Stegostoma tigrinum: one gene and its partner. The protein of the gene in region 1 purifies or fractionates together with the protein of each later gene. This does not show direct contact. Links are inferred from orthologs where the notes say so. Each region holds a gene or a part of one and is shown on either strand. Other genes may lie near its edges.

Region 1 (7,826 bases):
AGTGCAAGAGTTATTGGGGTGGGGTGGGTTGGGGTGGCAGAAAGGAAGTGGAGTTGAGACCACTACCAGATCAGCCATAACTTTAATGAATGGCTTGAAGAGCCAAATACTCTACTCCTGCTCCTAAATCGTACGTTCCAATAAGAACACAAGAGAAGAAATGTGTTGAAGTTAGATGAAGTAAGGTCCAACAGGATTACGAAGGTGGAAGTTTTGAAATTGTGTTTCTGAATATGTTGGTATTAAAACAAATTCATGACAATATAGTATAGTAACTACAAGAAAAACAACTTGGAGGTGAGAGACATAATGTAGTTTTGTCATTCCTAGTCTTAACAAAAATATGATCTTAAGATGGTTCAAAATTCAGCTCAGAGGAATTTATGACAAACACAAAAAAGCAGTCCTGGAATGCCACACATCACAGTATAATTTCAAACTTTCTTCACGTAGATTTATCAAATTATGCAGCACCTAAGCACTCATTTTATCAAGTTTCACCTGCGAATGGATGATAATCATTCATTTTCAGAAATCACGCGACAATCTACCACAGGCCAACACTGGCACCTCCAAATCATTCATTTTGCATTTGGCCTAACTTGCCTGCTGCTGAACAGCAGGTGATTCCATGTACTTTAAAAGGGACGATTCTACCTCAGTCTCGTGGGGATTTCAAATCCTATCATTTTTCTTAAAGCGTCTGTTCAGCTTCGAAAACGTCATAGATTTAAACTGAGATAGTAGGAACTGTGTTCCTTCAGCTTCACACCGTGCTATCAAAGATTTAAACTGAGGCAATTTCTTTACTAAATCAGCGTAATTCTCTTGAGTATTCTCACCGACATCTACTTCACATACAAAAAGTCGGCAAAACCGGTTTGTGAGTTGCACAATACTAATGTGAATAGATTGTGTGATAGTGGGGCCACACTAAATACATACAGTATTTGTATTTCCACTTGCAGAAATGGGTGATGACTATTTTTGAGAATGACAGGTCAGACAGTCCTTACCATTAAACTGGGATAAACATTGACACAAAGAAGCTGCTTCCTGCAGCAGTCGAAGATGCCACGCGCCAGAAATCAGTCCTCACATATTTAGGCGGTTCCTTAATCCGCCTCTTAAATTGCGTTTTGTTTTTCTTTCGCTTTCACTGAAGCTGTACCGCGCCCGTTGCAGAGGTGAAGGGGTGCAATCTGGTCGCCGCCGCCGGTTCGCTGTTGCGGCGCTTTGTCCCTGCGCGGACGCTGTTGCCACAGCAACCGGGAATTGTCGCGTTTTTAACTTGCCCCAGTCCGGGCGGAGAGACTGCTTCTTGACCTCCAGCAAGGAGCAGCATGACAGGATGCTCCTGGGCTGGGAAAAAGCCAACAAGTGGCTCATTCATGAGGGAGAAAGCAGCGATATACAGCAAAAGAATGGAAGTTCATGAATTTAGAGTCATAGGGAATATTGGAGTCAATGGAGTGGCAGGCTCCCTTGAGACCTTACGGAATGGGGGTGGTTGTTTCTGAGAAGGTGTAGAGCTGGATGAACACAGCAGACCAAGCAGCATCAGAGGAGCAGGAAGGCTGACATTTCGGGCCTAGAGCCGACTTCAGAAAATGAAGACTCTTTCTGAAGAAGGGTCTAGACCCAAAATGTCAGCTTTCCTGCTCCTCTGATGCTGCTTGGTCTGCTGTGTTCATCCAGCTGTACAACTTTTTGTCTCAGATGCTCCAGCATCGGCAGTCCCTACTATTTCTGGGTGGTTGTTTCTGCCTTTTTGTGAATAGCCTGGGGCCTATAGATGAGGATCCCATGAATAGGATTAGGAAACAATGGTAGAACCAGTAAATTTCAGGCAGAAAAGCTGGAACCGCAACAAATAATGGTTGCTTATAAGTACAGGATCCTTTGAGAAGACTACTTGTGTTTTCTTTAAGCTTTCCTTTCCCCAGTCATTTCTTTTAGGCTGAGTTAGATAGTTTTCGTAATTATCAAGGAATTCAAGGTTATTAGGGCGAGGCAGGAAGGTAGAACTGAGGCCACAATCAGATTGGCCATCATCTTATCAATGGCAGAGCAGGTTCAAGGAGATGGACGACCTACTCCTGATTCCAACTCATTTTTGTATATTACTCAATGAAATTGAAAATGGGTGGGTCTAACAAGCAAATGAACAAAAAGCGGCAGGGCTGTGAGGCATGAAGAACTGAACAAAGGACCTGTCCTTGGACATATCACCACTACAGAGAAAACCAAAAAGCCCACGCCAATTTGGTGTAATTTTGAGGGAAACTTGGGAAAACACACACATACACAAGGTGATGAAAAATTAAATGGACAATGCTGGAAATTCTCAGCTGATCTGACAGAATGTGCAGAGAGAGAAAAACAGAAATGTTTCAGGTTTCAGGTGGATTTTCTGAAGAAGGGTCTCGTCCTGAAATGTCAGCCTCCCTGCTCCTCTGATGCTGCTTGGCCTATTGTGTTCATCCAGCTCTACACCTTGTTATCTCAGTGTTTCAGGCGGGTGCCTTTCATCGGTTAATTGCATGTTATCACAATACTTCAAACCTTGAAGTATTAATATTAATATAACCTTTCATTTTATTTAATTCCTAAGTGTGAAAGAGGACACAAGAGAGTATCTCAAAAGGTTTGATTTACAAAGTTTTTTTGAAAACAACTCTTTAGATCTGGATACATTCATGCTGAGTTGTAACTCTGTTTCTCACTCCACAGATGCTACTAGACTGGATGAGTATTTCCAGCATTTTTATTCAGATTTCCAGCTTCTAGAGTGTTTTGCTTTTGTAAAAATAATACTGTTTTGAGGATAAAACAGTTGAGCAGAATTCAGAGCTGAAGGACATATTTTAACCATGCCCTTCTTGGTAGAGGTGGAATTGGGTAAATGTTACTGTATCTCAAGTACTTTTAAAAGTCTTATCTTGTTCAAGATTCTGTTAAATGTAAGTACATATTTGTAATCCAACTTTTCCATTTCCCACCACCACCATACATAGAAATATACTTACAGTCATCTGTTGTCAATTGTTATTGTCTAGTAAGTAATAAACTGCTGGGAAAATGAGAATGCTGGAAAGAGAGAAGGCAGATCACATTCCCAATGTAAATCCGCATCACAATTTCCATTCCTCACAACAAATAATTAACCCTGGTGAAGGAATGAGTCAAATTCTCTGTTTTATTATCATAGCGATTGCAATGCTCAATCCTGTTTGTTTATACTTAAACGTAATATCTCTACCATGATTTGTACATGGGAATCCAATGTAACATTTCCACATTTGTTGAGGGAATTTAGATAGGTGTACTGGATGGGCAAGAACCTGGCAGATCGATTATAAAATCAGAAACGTGAAGTTATCCACTTTCATAGGAAAAACAGAAATGCATATTATTTCTTAGACAGAGACGGTTTGTGAAGTATTGGTGCCTAAAAGTGTTCTTGTTGGTGAGTCACTGAAAGCTAACATGATGTTTAGCAAGCAGTCAAGGCAAATGTATTTACACCTTTATCCCAGGAGGAATTGAGGACATGAGTGAAGATGTCCTGATGTAACTGCATTGAGCCCTTGTAAGACTGCATCTGAAGTATTGTAAGCAACTCTGGTTTCCTTATCTAAGAAAGGATGTACTTGCCATGAAAGGAGTGCAACAAAGGTTCATCAGACTGATTCCCAGGGTGGCAAGACTGTCCTGTGAGGCAAGACTGAGGAAAGCGAGCCCATATTTTCCAGAGTTTAGAAAAATGAACGGTGATTTTCTTGAAACAAAGGAAGTTCTTGTTTGTCTTAATTAGATAGATGCAGGAAGGACATTTCCTGTGGGGGTCTAGAACCAGTGCTGAGGTGAATGACCAATCTTCATTTCATTCAACAGCAATAATAGGCTCAAGGGACCGAACTGCCCCCTCCTGCTCCTGTTTCCTGTAACTGTCCAAATCAGTTCCTAGTACTTTCCTGAGATCAGAGGATTTTCTAAAGGAGTGAGCGGGCTTGTAACTATTTTGGGGACTTGTGATCCCGTCTAATGTTACCTCTTGAAAGACAGAGGGGTGATCGTCTCCACTACAGGTGCTGCCCTGGTGTCATTCAGATTTGTCTGCGTTTGTTTTCAGTTCCAGCAGTTCTTTAGATATTGTCCGAAGTATATAGCAGATCTTTGGGCTCCCTTGGCGCAGTGGTAGCATCCCTACCTCTGAGCCAGGAGATCTAGGTTCAAGACTTGGTGTGTAATAACGTCTCTGGCTGCATTGTTTAAAAATATCTACAGTAGACGTGCCGATTTCGTAGAGATGATAGTGAAGATATATCAGCTTCATGACAATTAAACGTAACATGATTAAGCTGAAACATTATCACTGTAAATCATATAGGTGTGGATAAGACACTCTGCCTTACGGCAGTTGGCTTACAGACAGCAAGCTTTGTGTGTGTTTTCAGTGGCATCTTGTCAGGGGCAGGGCTGAGAACATTACTGCCCGTGCCGCCTGAGACCGGCTCCACCTCGCTCCTTCTCCCTCTACGCATTCCCAATGGTGTGACGAGCTACACTGACAAGCCGATTGGCTGCACCACTCGGCTACATTTCTCCATTTATGGACTGATTGGCAGAGTTATCGTATTCACCGGGACGATCATTCACCATTCCTCCCTCCCTCTCTGAGTGCAGAACGCTCGGGGACACCCCGGAGCTACAAGGCCTGATTCATCCAAAAAAAAACTTGATCATCTTTTCTCTTCCCCCCCTTCCTCTTTGAAACATGGATCCACCCACAGCATGTTGATGCCTCCCTCCACTGTGGACTCCAGGATCGACAGTAGATGGAGTTCAACTCTATCTCGGAAGCAGGAGATCGCCAGTGAAGAGCATACAGTAGGTGGCACCGCCTCGATTTAGGCAGCAGACTTTTCCCGGAGCCGGCATAAATTCCAAGGAAGCAAAATGGTAAGTCTGATCATTGTAACAGTGGACTATAGAAAAGGGCTTTAGGATATCTCCCCCCACGGTGGGACAGCTATGCTGAACTCAAATCCTCGGTACAGCGGCAACCAGATCAGTTCCAATGCTTGACTTTCGAACAAAAAGACTGTTTCCAAAACTGATTTAAAAATCTGCGGTAGTCCGGCCTTCTAATTGCGCTGAAAGTAACCGGCAGGGAACGCTCCCTGGGCAGCTACGGAATAGCCACAGGTTGGAGGAAATGCTTCAATGCCGAACGAGTCCAGAGTTCAATAAATAGAACGGGTCAGGAATAAACATTCAAACTCCCAAGGTGCTTAATTTTTCCCTGTAGCTCACGTAAAGTGTTTTTTTTTAAACTGGGCAGGAAACTGGCAATCCCAGTTTCATCAATCCAAGTAAAGAGTTGCCTTAATTAAAGCGATTCCTTTTTGAAGGATCGCAGTAATAGGAAACGAAATGGAAACTTGTTGTGATGTTGTGCCCAGTCTGCATTGGCCACAAGTCGCGGGAAATGTATTATTCTATATAATTGAATATTGCTGAAAAAAAGTCACCATGCAGACTCAACGGGCTGGTGTTTTACTAATTCAGCACTTGGTTTGGTTTGGTAAACTATTGTTTATAGTTGCTACTTCCATTGTAGCAAAAGTAAACCATCGGGTCACGGGAATGATGGAACAGTTTTTGCGTTTTAAAGATTCCTGACTTGTCCTTCTCTCCCGATTCTTTTGTAACTGGCAACAAAGTTTCAATTTGGATTATCTTGATCTGTCCACTCAAAGTCTAATTAATTGTCATCAAAAAAGGATGAAACTCTAAGCTTTACGTGACAGTGAGCCACTTTTGAAGAGAAATAAATGTCTCCTACTGGAAAGCGTCGAAATATTTATATCCATGTATTATTCAAGAAGCATCTTTAAACTATATACCGAAGTTGACCAACCCCTGGAATACATATGGTAGATTGTTTCTACAATTTTGACGAGTATTATTTATGTTACTGTGTGCGATCGTATGTGAAACTAGTCAAATACTGGTGTGCAGCTATTGTGTTGGATAAGCCTCACTGGTCATTGTTTATGTTCATCACTGACTGACTTTGTGATTATCACGTGCAGGAACAGCAATCTATTCATCAAGGCTGATCCTGAAGTCGTCTGTAGATGTTGTAATCTTAGAACAGTTCATCTCGTTTTCTTCTCAGTCCCACTTTAGTATAAGAGCTTTGCAATTTTCTAAGATTGTCTTTAGCTTTATTGGTATTATTTATTTCTGTGCTTCCCATCCAGCACCACGTATTATTTCCTATCTGAAACAATGCATCAATTTTGATGGGAGTGGTAAGAAATTGTAAGTATGTGCAAGCAATCAAGTGGATTGCAAGAGATAACAAGGTGAAGAGCTGGAAGAACACAGCAGGCCAAGCAGCAGAAATGGACTGCAATGTGTCCATCTCCAAGCATGCCTGTGTCCTAAATGTTAGTGTGTTCAGGTAATGCTTGGACCTCAGATATCTGAAAGGCGTGGCAGATAGGTAAATGAGGAAGAAAAATGCCGGAATGTTGCTAAGATCAGATGAAGACTGGTGGGAAGCTTGTATTGAGGGACTCTAGCATGGACCAGTTGAGCAAAATGTCCTGTTTCCAGGCTGTAAATTTAATGCAAGTTTTGTGTTTTGGAATGTGAACAACTTATTTTGTTTAATCACCTTTTAGATTTTATCTTCAGGAAAGCTTTTAAAGTTCCTATTTATTGAAATGTTCTACCTATCCATAAAGACAAGTAGCTATGATTGCATTTAATAATGAACTGCCAGAATAGCATCAGAGATAGTAAGAACTGCCGATGCTGAAGTCAGAGATAACACAGTGTGGAGCTGGAGGAGCACAGCAGGCCAGGCAGCACCAGAGGAGCAGGAAAGTTGACGTTTTGTGTGGGGACCTTCTTCAGAAGTAGCATTATCTGTGATTCGAGTTCATGTATCAACTGCTATTGGTAATTGTTTTGGAGTCCAATTCAACAAGACGTAGAAAGTGACCCAGTGAGCTGAATATAAAACAAAACCCTTGAGTGCCTTTAATTTATTTTGAAATGGACGTGTGGAACCCTTATAGAATTAGTTACGTCACAATACATATGGCACCATAACATGATAGAATTTTTTTATCAAGATGGAGAGTGAGGTTGGTGATTTGCAGACTAGGGGGATGAACCTTAATAAAGGAAACTATGAAGATATGAGGCATGAGTTGGCCTTGATAGATTGGGGAGAATTACTTAAAGGGATGACAGTGGATAGGCAATGGCAAACATTCAAGAAACACATGGGGGAACTACAACAACTGTTTATTCCTGTCTGTCACAAAAGCAAAATGGGTAAGAGAGCCAATTCAAAGCGTACAAAGGAAGTCAGAGATAGTATCCAATCCAAGGAAGAACCATACAGCTTGGCCAAAAATAATAATACAGCTGAGGATTGGGAGCAGTTTAGAATTTAGCAAAGAACGACCAAAGGATTATTTAAGAAGGGGAAAATAGAGCACAAAACTAAGCTTGTCATAAGGACTGACACTAAGAGTTTCTATAGGTACATGAAGAGAAGGAGATTGGTAAAAACAAAAATAAGTCCCTTCAGACAGAAACAGGGGAATGTTTAATAGGGGACAAAGAAATGGCTGAGGAACTGCATACATACTTTGGTTCTGTCTTCACGAAAGAGGACATAAATCAGATACCAAAATTCTTGGAGGCGGCAAGATTTAGTGAGAGTGAAGAGCTGAGGAAAATCCATATGAGTAGAGAAATGGTGCTGGGAAGATTGTTGGGACTGAAAGCCGATAAAT
Region 2 (7,820 bases), on another chromosome or scaffold:
GCACCTTGGATATTTCATTAAATTAGCTCTATAAATGTAAAGCTTTAGTTCATTATCATCTACAAAACTATTTTTCATTGGCAAATTTTTAAAAAGCTACACATTTGTAATCAAAAGCACTATTCCCATCCCTGATCATTGCTGATGTACATGCTTTTGTGCTACTGATGTAGCATGTAACATGAATACCACAATGGGAACAAAGACTCTGTAGTTATATTAACAGTTAGACAACCACCCATCACCCTTTCATCAGAGCAATAGGTAAAAATACAATAGCCATTGAATAAAAAGGGACATTTTCTTAGCTCAAATATCGAAAAGACTGTTTTCAAGTCATAGCTACAACAAAGATTCCTTGTTCTCAAAGAAAAGAGCCTTCTGATCAGAAGAGGAAAGCCACTTTGGATGGGTTCTATTCCAAAACTGAGCTTTCAAATCGTGTCCAAAAACTCATCAACTTGAAGCTCTGTATTGGTGACTCTTCCCGACTGGAATAAAAGCTTAGATATGGCCCACAATGTCTCACTCAGATCAGATAACAACTCACTGAAATGTAAATATTTAAGATGTGTAATGTCTAGCTGCTAATTAAGTTACTAAAGCACTTTCTGCTCTCTGATGAAGGGTCAAGGTCTGAAACGTCAGCTTTTGTGCTCCTAAGATGCTGCTTGGCCTGCTGTGTTTATCCAGCTTCACACTTTGTTATCTCGGATTCTCCAGCATCTGCAGTTTCCATTATCTCAAGTTAATAAAGCCGGTTGTTTGCAGAGGCATGTAACCTCATCCACAAGGAACATAAGAAACACTGTCTGCCACATGTTTCATTTTGAGAAAGAACCTTCCCACTCCACTGCCATACGATCAATATTGTCCATTTAAGAAAGTGAATGGGAAATATTCTGTCTGAGACTTTTTTCAGTTTCCAAGACCCCAAGTTAGTTGCAGTCGTGCAATTCTGCTGTCTGGTACATTTGTTTGAAACTGTTCCATCACTAGGTGGTCATATCTTCAGTTAACCTAGGCCGCAAGTATTGAAATTTCTACCCCTGACCCACCACATTTCCTTTCTCCCTAGAAACTCTATTTGGGCAAGCTGTTCAACCTTATATGGCTTAATTTCAGAGTCTGTTCAATAACAATCCTGCTAAGTGTCTTGGGATAGTTCACTAAAATAAAGGTAGTATTCAAACACAGGCTGTGGTTATGAGTCAGGACTGAATCGCCAAACTATGAGCAGACATTGTGATGGACTCATACTGAGTTTTGAATTTAAAAGAAAATTCAATGACCAACTGAATATTTTCAGTTATCTCAAGAAAAGTTAACGTAAAAGTTAACACACAATGTATTTTTCTAGCAAAGTGAATCTGATAACAGCTATATAAAACAAAAGTCCAAACATATTTAAACATTAAGTAATTTCAGTGGCATTTGACAAGTCAGAGGATGCAGGTGCCCATTGCCCCTCACCCATCTCTGAAAAAATGGTTAAAAGAATCATATTTCTCAAACAAATTTCTATGAGGTTGATGGTGAACATTATCTGGAGAAATTCATACACGTACTTTTAGAATGACTCCCATTCATTGTTAGAATGAATCTTAGACTAAACAGGCAAAAGTTAAAGGCTTTTATTATCAAATGATGCAGATTGTCAGGACAGTGGTGAGATATAATTGAGCAGTAGTTCTAATTGGTACTAACAATAAGCTGATACATGGCATGCATAGTAAAGTGAGGAAAATCCACAGCAGTGGCAAAGTATGCTTAATGCATTAGTTCTGCTGCTACAGCACAAAACTGTAAATTCCACAAAAATTGCAATGTTCATTACTTTTATACAATAAATCTGCTTATTCATCTAAAAAGATGTCAATGACTCACTAGACAGATCATCACCGTGCTCCATCAGAAGAACTTAATTTGGCCTCACATAAACGAATACATACTGCTATATCTCAGGGTCACTCGTTTGCCATATTAAAAAAAAGGCCTGCATTCGATCAGTGCGATGGCCCACTTGGTCAGGCTCCAGATACATTGATCAAAATTGAAGAGCTAACATGGGACTGAAGTGCCAAAAGTGTTTGCATATTTCAAGAATTGGTTTGGGTGGTCAAATTGTGCTGTTATGCAACTGTTAAATTTCCTGTTGCACCAGTCAAAATCACCGTGTAATTACATCTCCCAAGCAAATAAACCTCTCCCGGTTGTGGTGCAAAAATTCTTCAAGATCAGTAAATCACATAAAACATAGTTTAATTCATGCTTCTAAGTCATATTTGAAGAAAGCCTCATAATTAAGATAGTTAGTGGTAACCCACAAATGCGAGTTGTGCATGCACAAAGAATGACACACTGACATTTGAAAAAAATTGTTGTAGAGCCATTGAACCACCAGATCTTGGAAGATGGTTGTTTTTATATTAACACGAGGTCACAATTTGACACCACAAATAAACGCAAACTGAAAGGTGTTAAATATTTACAGTATCCCTTCTAGCCAGAGTAGAGCTGCGAATTTGTCAATCACAGGGGCGACTACTCGCGCACCCCACCCGTAGAATTGAACTGCTTTCAAACCAAGAGGAGGGGAAGCAAGGCTTAGAGATTTACCCGCACTTACACCAAAGTCTTTACATTTATTGCGCAGTAAAGTACCAACAAGGGTCTGAGTGGAAAACAATTAAACACAGTAAAAAGAACACTTGGAGAATTTTACATGAAAACCACAAGAATGACAAGTGGATTGGACTGCGTTGAAAATTCAAGAGCTCAGAGATATGATGACAGCCATAAAGAGGTGTTTCAGACTGTTCTCCGGGAAAATGTGGCAACAACTTCTCTTTTGGGGAGAAAAGACCAGGAGTCAATCAATTTGACTTTAAAGTCTCACAAGCCTCGAAAGAAACGGCACCTTACCTGGTTTGGCCGGTTTAGGCGGCGGTTTCGACATTATTGCTACAGTTGATTTGTAATTTTTTCCGATTAAAACAAAGTCGAAAATCACTCTTGCCACACAGTCTCCTCAGATATTACACCGTATTGAGGAACTGTCGAGTGTGGGGTGTAACCCGGAAGTTCAGGCAGAGCCGCCCACCGGCCCTTACGCTGAGCGTGATGACATCGGCAGCAGTGTCCGCACCCCTTCACGTTGTGCGCAATGATGTCTTCGCCTGCCGTCTCCCACCCTGCCGTACGTGATGGCATCATCGTTCGGTGTCTCGTCCCTCGCCGAGCGTGTAGACGTCACTGGTCCTATGGGAGAATGAGATGAAGCAGGTAAATGGTTGGCCTCTGACATGAAATATTAACGGATTTTCAACTTTAAAACTCCCTGTGATCTGTTGGGCATCCCTATAAGTGTAGGTTGGGAAGGTGAAGCATGAGAGCCCCTTCTTTTGCGGCCGCACACCCCTTGCCTGTAGGGGGTTTACTTTCCTTTCCCTTTGAATGGTTCTCGAGCTTATACTGATCCCAAAGCGCGAGAAGGAGAGTTTACTAATTGAAAGACGTGCAAGGAATTTTTTTTATCCTCAAGAGTGTGGTTCTGAGGCTTCGGATGATTAGAAGAGTTAAAGAGTCAGGCGTTGTATCTCGTGAATATTGCTATGGGCAGGGGAATGAGATTACAGAGTGAACCAGGGTAACTGACAGTGAATGATTTCTTCACAATGCTGAAATAGAAGCGACGGTGTGTTCAGTGGCATCTTAACATGGCAATTAACAATCGCAACGGCTGACAAATTCAACGGGAAATGCTAGTGGAGTGGAGTGGAGATCAAAACAAGAACTCTTGAGGTTTCTGGAATGGAGGGGAAATGCTGAGGGCCGGAGTGTATGTAATGAGACAGGCAAGATTGAGGGCCCTGGCAATCTCTTTGCAGAGAAATCCGCAAAGAAAAAAGGAAGTTCTATCCAAAACACTAGTTGCATTAGCTGAACAGGTATGCCAGCAAAACTAACAATGGAACAGTCAACATTGGAATCAATTTATGAGAAAGTGTATTCAATTTTCTTTGGTAAGTCACGGGTCTTTCGGTAAGCAACAGCTGTATCCCACAATTTGACCTGTTTAAAATATTGTCATTGGATATACTCTTGTTCCCTGCTCTCCAGTTTTGACCATGAGTGATCCACACACTGGTGTTGGGTGTGGGTAATCTATGCTGCTTAATGTCTAAGCCAATTTATTTCAAAGCCCCAGAACTCTAAATCCAATCTTAAATTCCACTTTAATCATATTAAAATTACATTTCTCAAATATGCAAGAGGTCAATCAACATGCATTGTAAATTTACTTGAATATTGTGATACCAATAAAGCTTACTTTGATACAACTAAAATATTATGAGTTTTGCTTCCAGTTGAACAAAGCCAACTTCTGTTAAACCAGTTCTCTCAAAATGTGATATATATCTCTGGAATAACTTCGAAGCAACACTTCTATTGAAGGAATGTAAGTCTTATCCTAGTCAGTTAATCATACTATATCGTTACAGAAGGAGGGTATCACAGCTACAAAAGAAATAGTGTTTGTGAAGCTTGATTAGCTCTGCACTCACACAAAGCCAAAAGCTCCTTTTTTTTGATATATTTGACTTAAGTACAATGATGAAGCATCCTTCAGTCAAGTCTGGGACATCAACTGGAGTGGAGATTATATCGTGAAGAGGAAATCAGTCACATCCACCTATTTAAGGGTTTTTCGATCCATCTTTTTTATTTCTCATGGCAGGTTCAAAACAATGATGAAATGAAGTTGAAAATACACAGTCGTTGGCACCTTCATCAAACTCTGCTGTGAGTTCCAACCACAATTTGGTTCCTGATCCATTTTGTTAACTCTTGAGTTGCATCAAATTAGCTGGCATAAAGCATTCCTAAATGTTTTTCTGTCCAACGACCAATAAATGGAGTGATAAGTGAGAAAATGCTTACAATAACTTCTTGATTGGTTCAATAGTTTGTTAATTTATTATTTAAAAATGATGGGCAAACTTCTACTTTGCATGCCCTCTTTTCCCTGAGAAAGGACACCTGTGTGTTTATGTCAGATTTGCAAATCTAATCTGTAGTTATTCGTGCACACAAAACAAACACTGTTGGTGAGACATTTGTAAAGTCTCACTTCATGAATTATGCTGAAATTGAGTGAGATTGAATTCTGGCCTCTTTCAACTGACTGTCAGAGGTTTAACAGTCCTCTGCTCCTTGTGCTGTGATTTTGGGGGTGAATGGCCCCGTGCTCCCGCTGCTTTGTGTGCAACCCATCTTGTCAAAGTTAATAAATTCACAAATGACAACAAAGAATTGGAAACATTGGAGATCTGAAATGAAACAGAAATAGTGGAGAAACTCAACAGATCTACCAGATCTATTGAGAAAGAAGCAAAGTTAATATTTCAAGTCAGCATGGCTCTTCTTCAGAACACAGAATTAAAATTAGTAATTTGGCTTTTTGCTGTCTGGAGTTACGGGACTCTGTGACTGCATATGGTGCTCAATGGCTCCACTGTCACAATATTGTTCAGAATAAGGTGCATGGTACTAAGAGGAGGGCGATATTCTGTAGAGAATCTGCTTTAGCAGTTGAGAATAAAGGGATGACAATGGGGAAGCAGTCAAAGATAAATTTAAATAATTCATGAAGAAGTTACGTGAAATCTTCCCCTAAACAATTTAATGAAATTTTAAATGTTTATGATTTAAAGCAAGTAGAAATTAAGTATTAAAATGTGAGGAAATACTTGCATTTAAACAGTGCCCTTTGCAACATCCGGATATCCCAAAAATCTTTATAGCCAGTGAAGTACTTTCTGAAGTATTGCACACAAAAGAGAAGGAATAGAGCAGAGATCTGAAAAGAATAGGAAAAGTAAATTACACATCGCAGAAATCGAAACATGATGTTAATGCCAGAACAGCAAAAGAACCCGAGGTTTTTTAAAGCAGATTTATAAATCAGTTGTCAGTGTACTAAATTTTTGTGTTTTATATTTATAGCATCTGTTGAGAACTAAAAGAGCAGAAGCACAAAGGAGAGAGATAAGACCTCAATGATCCTGCACAAGAGAAGCTGTTGAATAAATGGTGAGTTTTTTTTCTTTCACACTTCAATGTATCTATAAATTAATAGCTTAATACACACATTGACATCTTTAAGCATGTGGATTGTTCATCCTGCATCATGTGGAAATCCAGGACATTTCATTTATCCTAGATAACCACATGCAGGAAGTGATGGCATCCGGGAAGCTAGAGCTTCAGTCTTCAGAGGTTCAGAAGTAGCTGGGATTACTGTCGTGCATTCACACTGTTTTGATAACATTTTGCGACACATTTCCCCTGCAGTTTAAAAGTGTGCAGGCAGGGAGGTACTGGGACATAGCCAACAGATAAAAAGGATCAGGCAGATATTGTCATAGTCTTCCAAAGACTTTCACTCACTAACCAGTATTGAGTTCTAATGAAGAAGCGGGTTCGTTTAGAGAATACAGCCAGGGCCATGGCACCGTGAGTGGCTCTGCTGTACATGGAAACAGCTGAAAGATCAGAAGAGCAATAATGATTGTGTATTTTATAGTTACGGGAACTGAGATGCTCTTCTGCAGGTGCAGATGAGATTTCAGGATGGAAAGTTTCCTCCAAGGCACCAGAATCAGGGATGCCCTGTGCAGTTTCAGGGAATTTTGAAGGAGGAGGCTGAACAGCTGCCAGTTCTCATTTCAGTACCAATGACATAAGCAGAAAGTGGAATGGAACTTCTGCAGCCTGACATTTGGGAGGAAGGAAAGAGAATAAATAAGCAACATGTTAGAAACAGCAACTTCCAGATTTATCTTGATTCACACACGAGCGAGAAGAAATATAAGAGGTTGGAGTAGATGGATATGTGGCTGGAGAGATGATGCAGGAGAGCACTTTTCATTACAGAGATATTGGATCAGTTTTGAGGGATGAAGCTCGACAGTTGCTCCTGAAGCAAGTCAGGACCAATGTCCCCATGGTTGGTTTGCTCTTGTTTTAAGGACAGTTTAATTTAATTTGACTGGCAGATGATAATCAGGTTTAGTATTAGTAAGGAGAAACATCGTGTACCAAGGATTGAGAGAGCTGTGGTAGCTTTAGGATAAAATATAGTAACTACTGGATGGAATCAGGCCAAGATAGTGTACAATAAGGTGGAAGATAGTTTTTTATTGCATGTTTGTAAATGTACAAAGCATGACAAATAAATCCTACCTGACCTGCTGAGGATTTCTAGAATATTCTATTTTTATTTCAGCTTTCTGACATTTGCAATATTTTGCTTTTTGTTTTATTGAGGAAAGGCATTGCTAATTTGTTTCTAATAAGCTGGATCAAGCGTCTGGGAAATGTTAAGCCATGGGCGAGAAGCACCCTAGAATATATAAAAAAACTAATAGAAGGAGGACAGGTTGCAGTGATTTCAAAGTAAATTTGTCCCATGAGAATTGGAAGCAGACAATTGCTAGGAAAGACCATTTCAATGTGATGTCTTGAAAAGGGGTGGCTCATGGCCAGTCGATGTATTTGCCCACAGGGGAAAAGGAACAAACAAAGCCAAATTTCAATGGATAATAAAAGCACTAGAGCATTAGCTGAAGAAGGAAAAAGAGTGCATATGGCATGTGGCGTATACATTTGGCATCTAATTTAGAATACGGCATCTCCAACCATACAGCATTCCCTCAAAACTGCATTAGAATGTCACATGAGATTACATGCCGAATTGTTGTGAGTTATGTAATATGTATTCTCTTAATATGTTTGTGTCTTGCAATTATATAATG

What was found.
Region 2: the proteins of myo1ea (region 1) and ostf1 purify together in Homo sapiens (co-immunoprecipitation; 3 studies listed by BioGRID and IntAct, counting the BioPlex papers as one, with this or other methods). This does not show direct contact. The link is inferred for Stegostoma tigrinum from reciprocal best matches to the Homo sapiens genes MYO1E and OSTF1.

The regions. Positions count from the first base shown.
Region 1 is NC_081386.1:17,739,573-17,747,398, reverse strand, and holds the start of myo1ea (unconventional myosin-Ie), read left to right. Parts: upstream 1-4,568; 5' UTR 4,569-4,962; coding exon 4,963-4,965; intron 4,966-7,826. Other genes in the region: protein FAM81A-like, read right to left, coding at 1,017-1,019. UniProt on the Homo sapiens protein: Actin-based motor molecule with ATPase activity. Unconventional myosins serve in intracellular movements. Their highly divergent tails bind to membranous compartments, which are then moved relative to actin filaments.
Region 2 is NC_081356.1:66,466,080-66,473,899, forward strand, and holds the start of ostf1 (osteoclast-stimulating factor 1), read right to left. Parts: upstream 3,112-7,820; 5' UTR 2,960-3,111; coding exon 2,926-2,959; intron 1-2,925.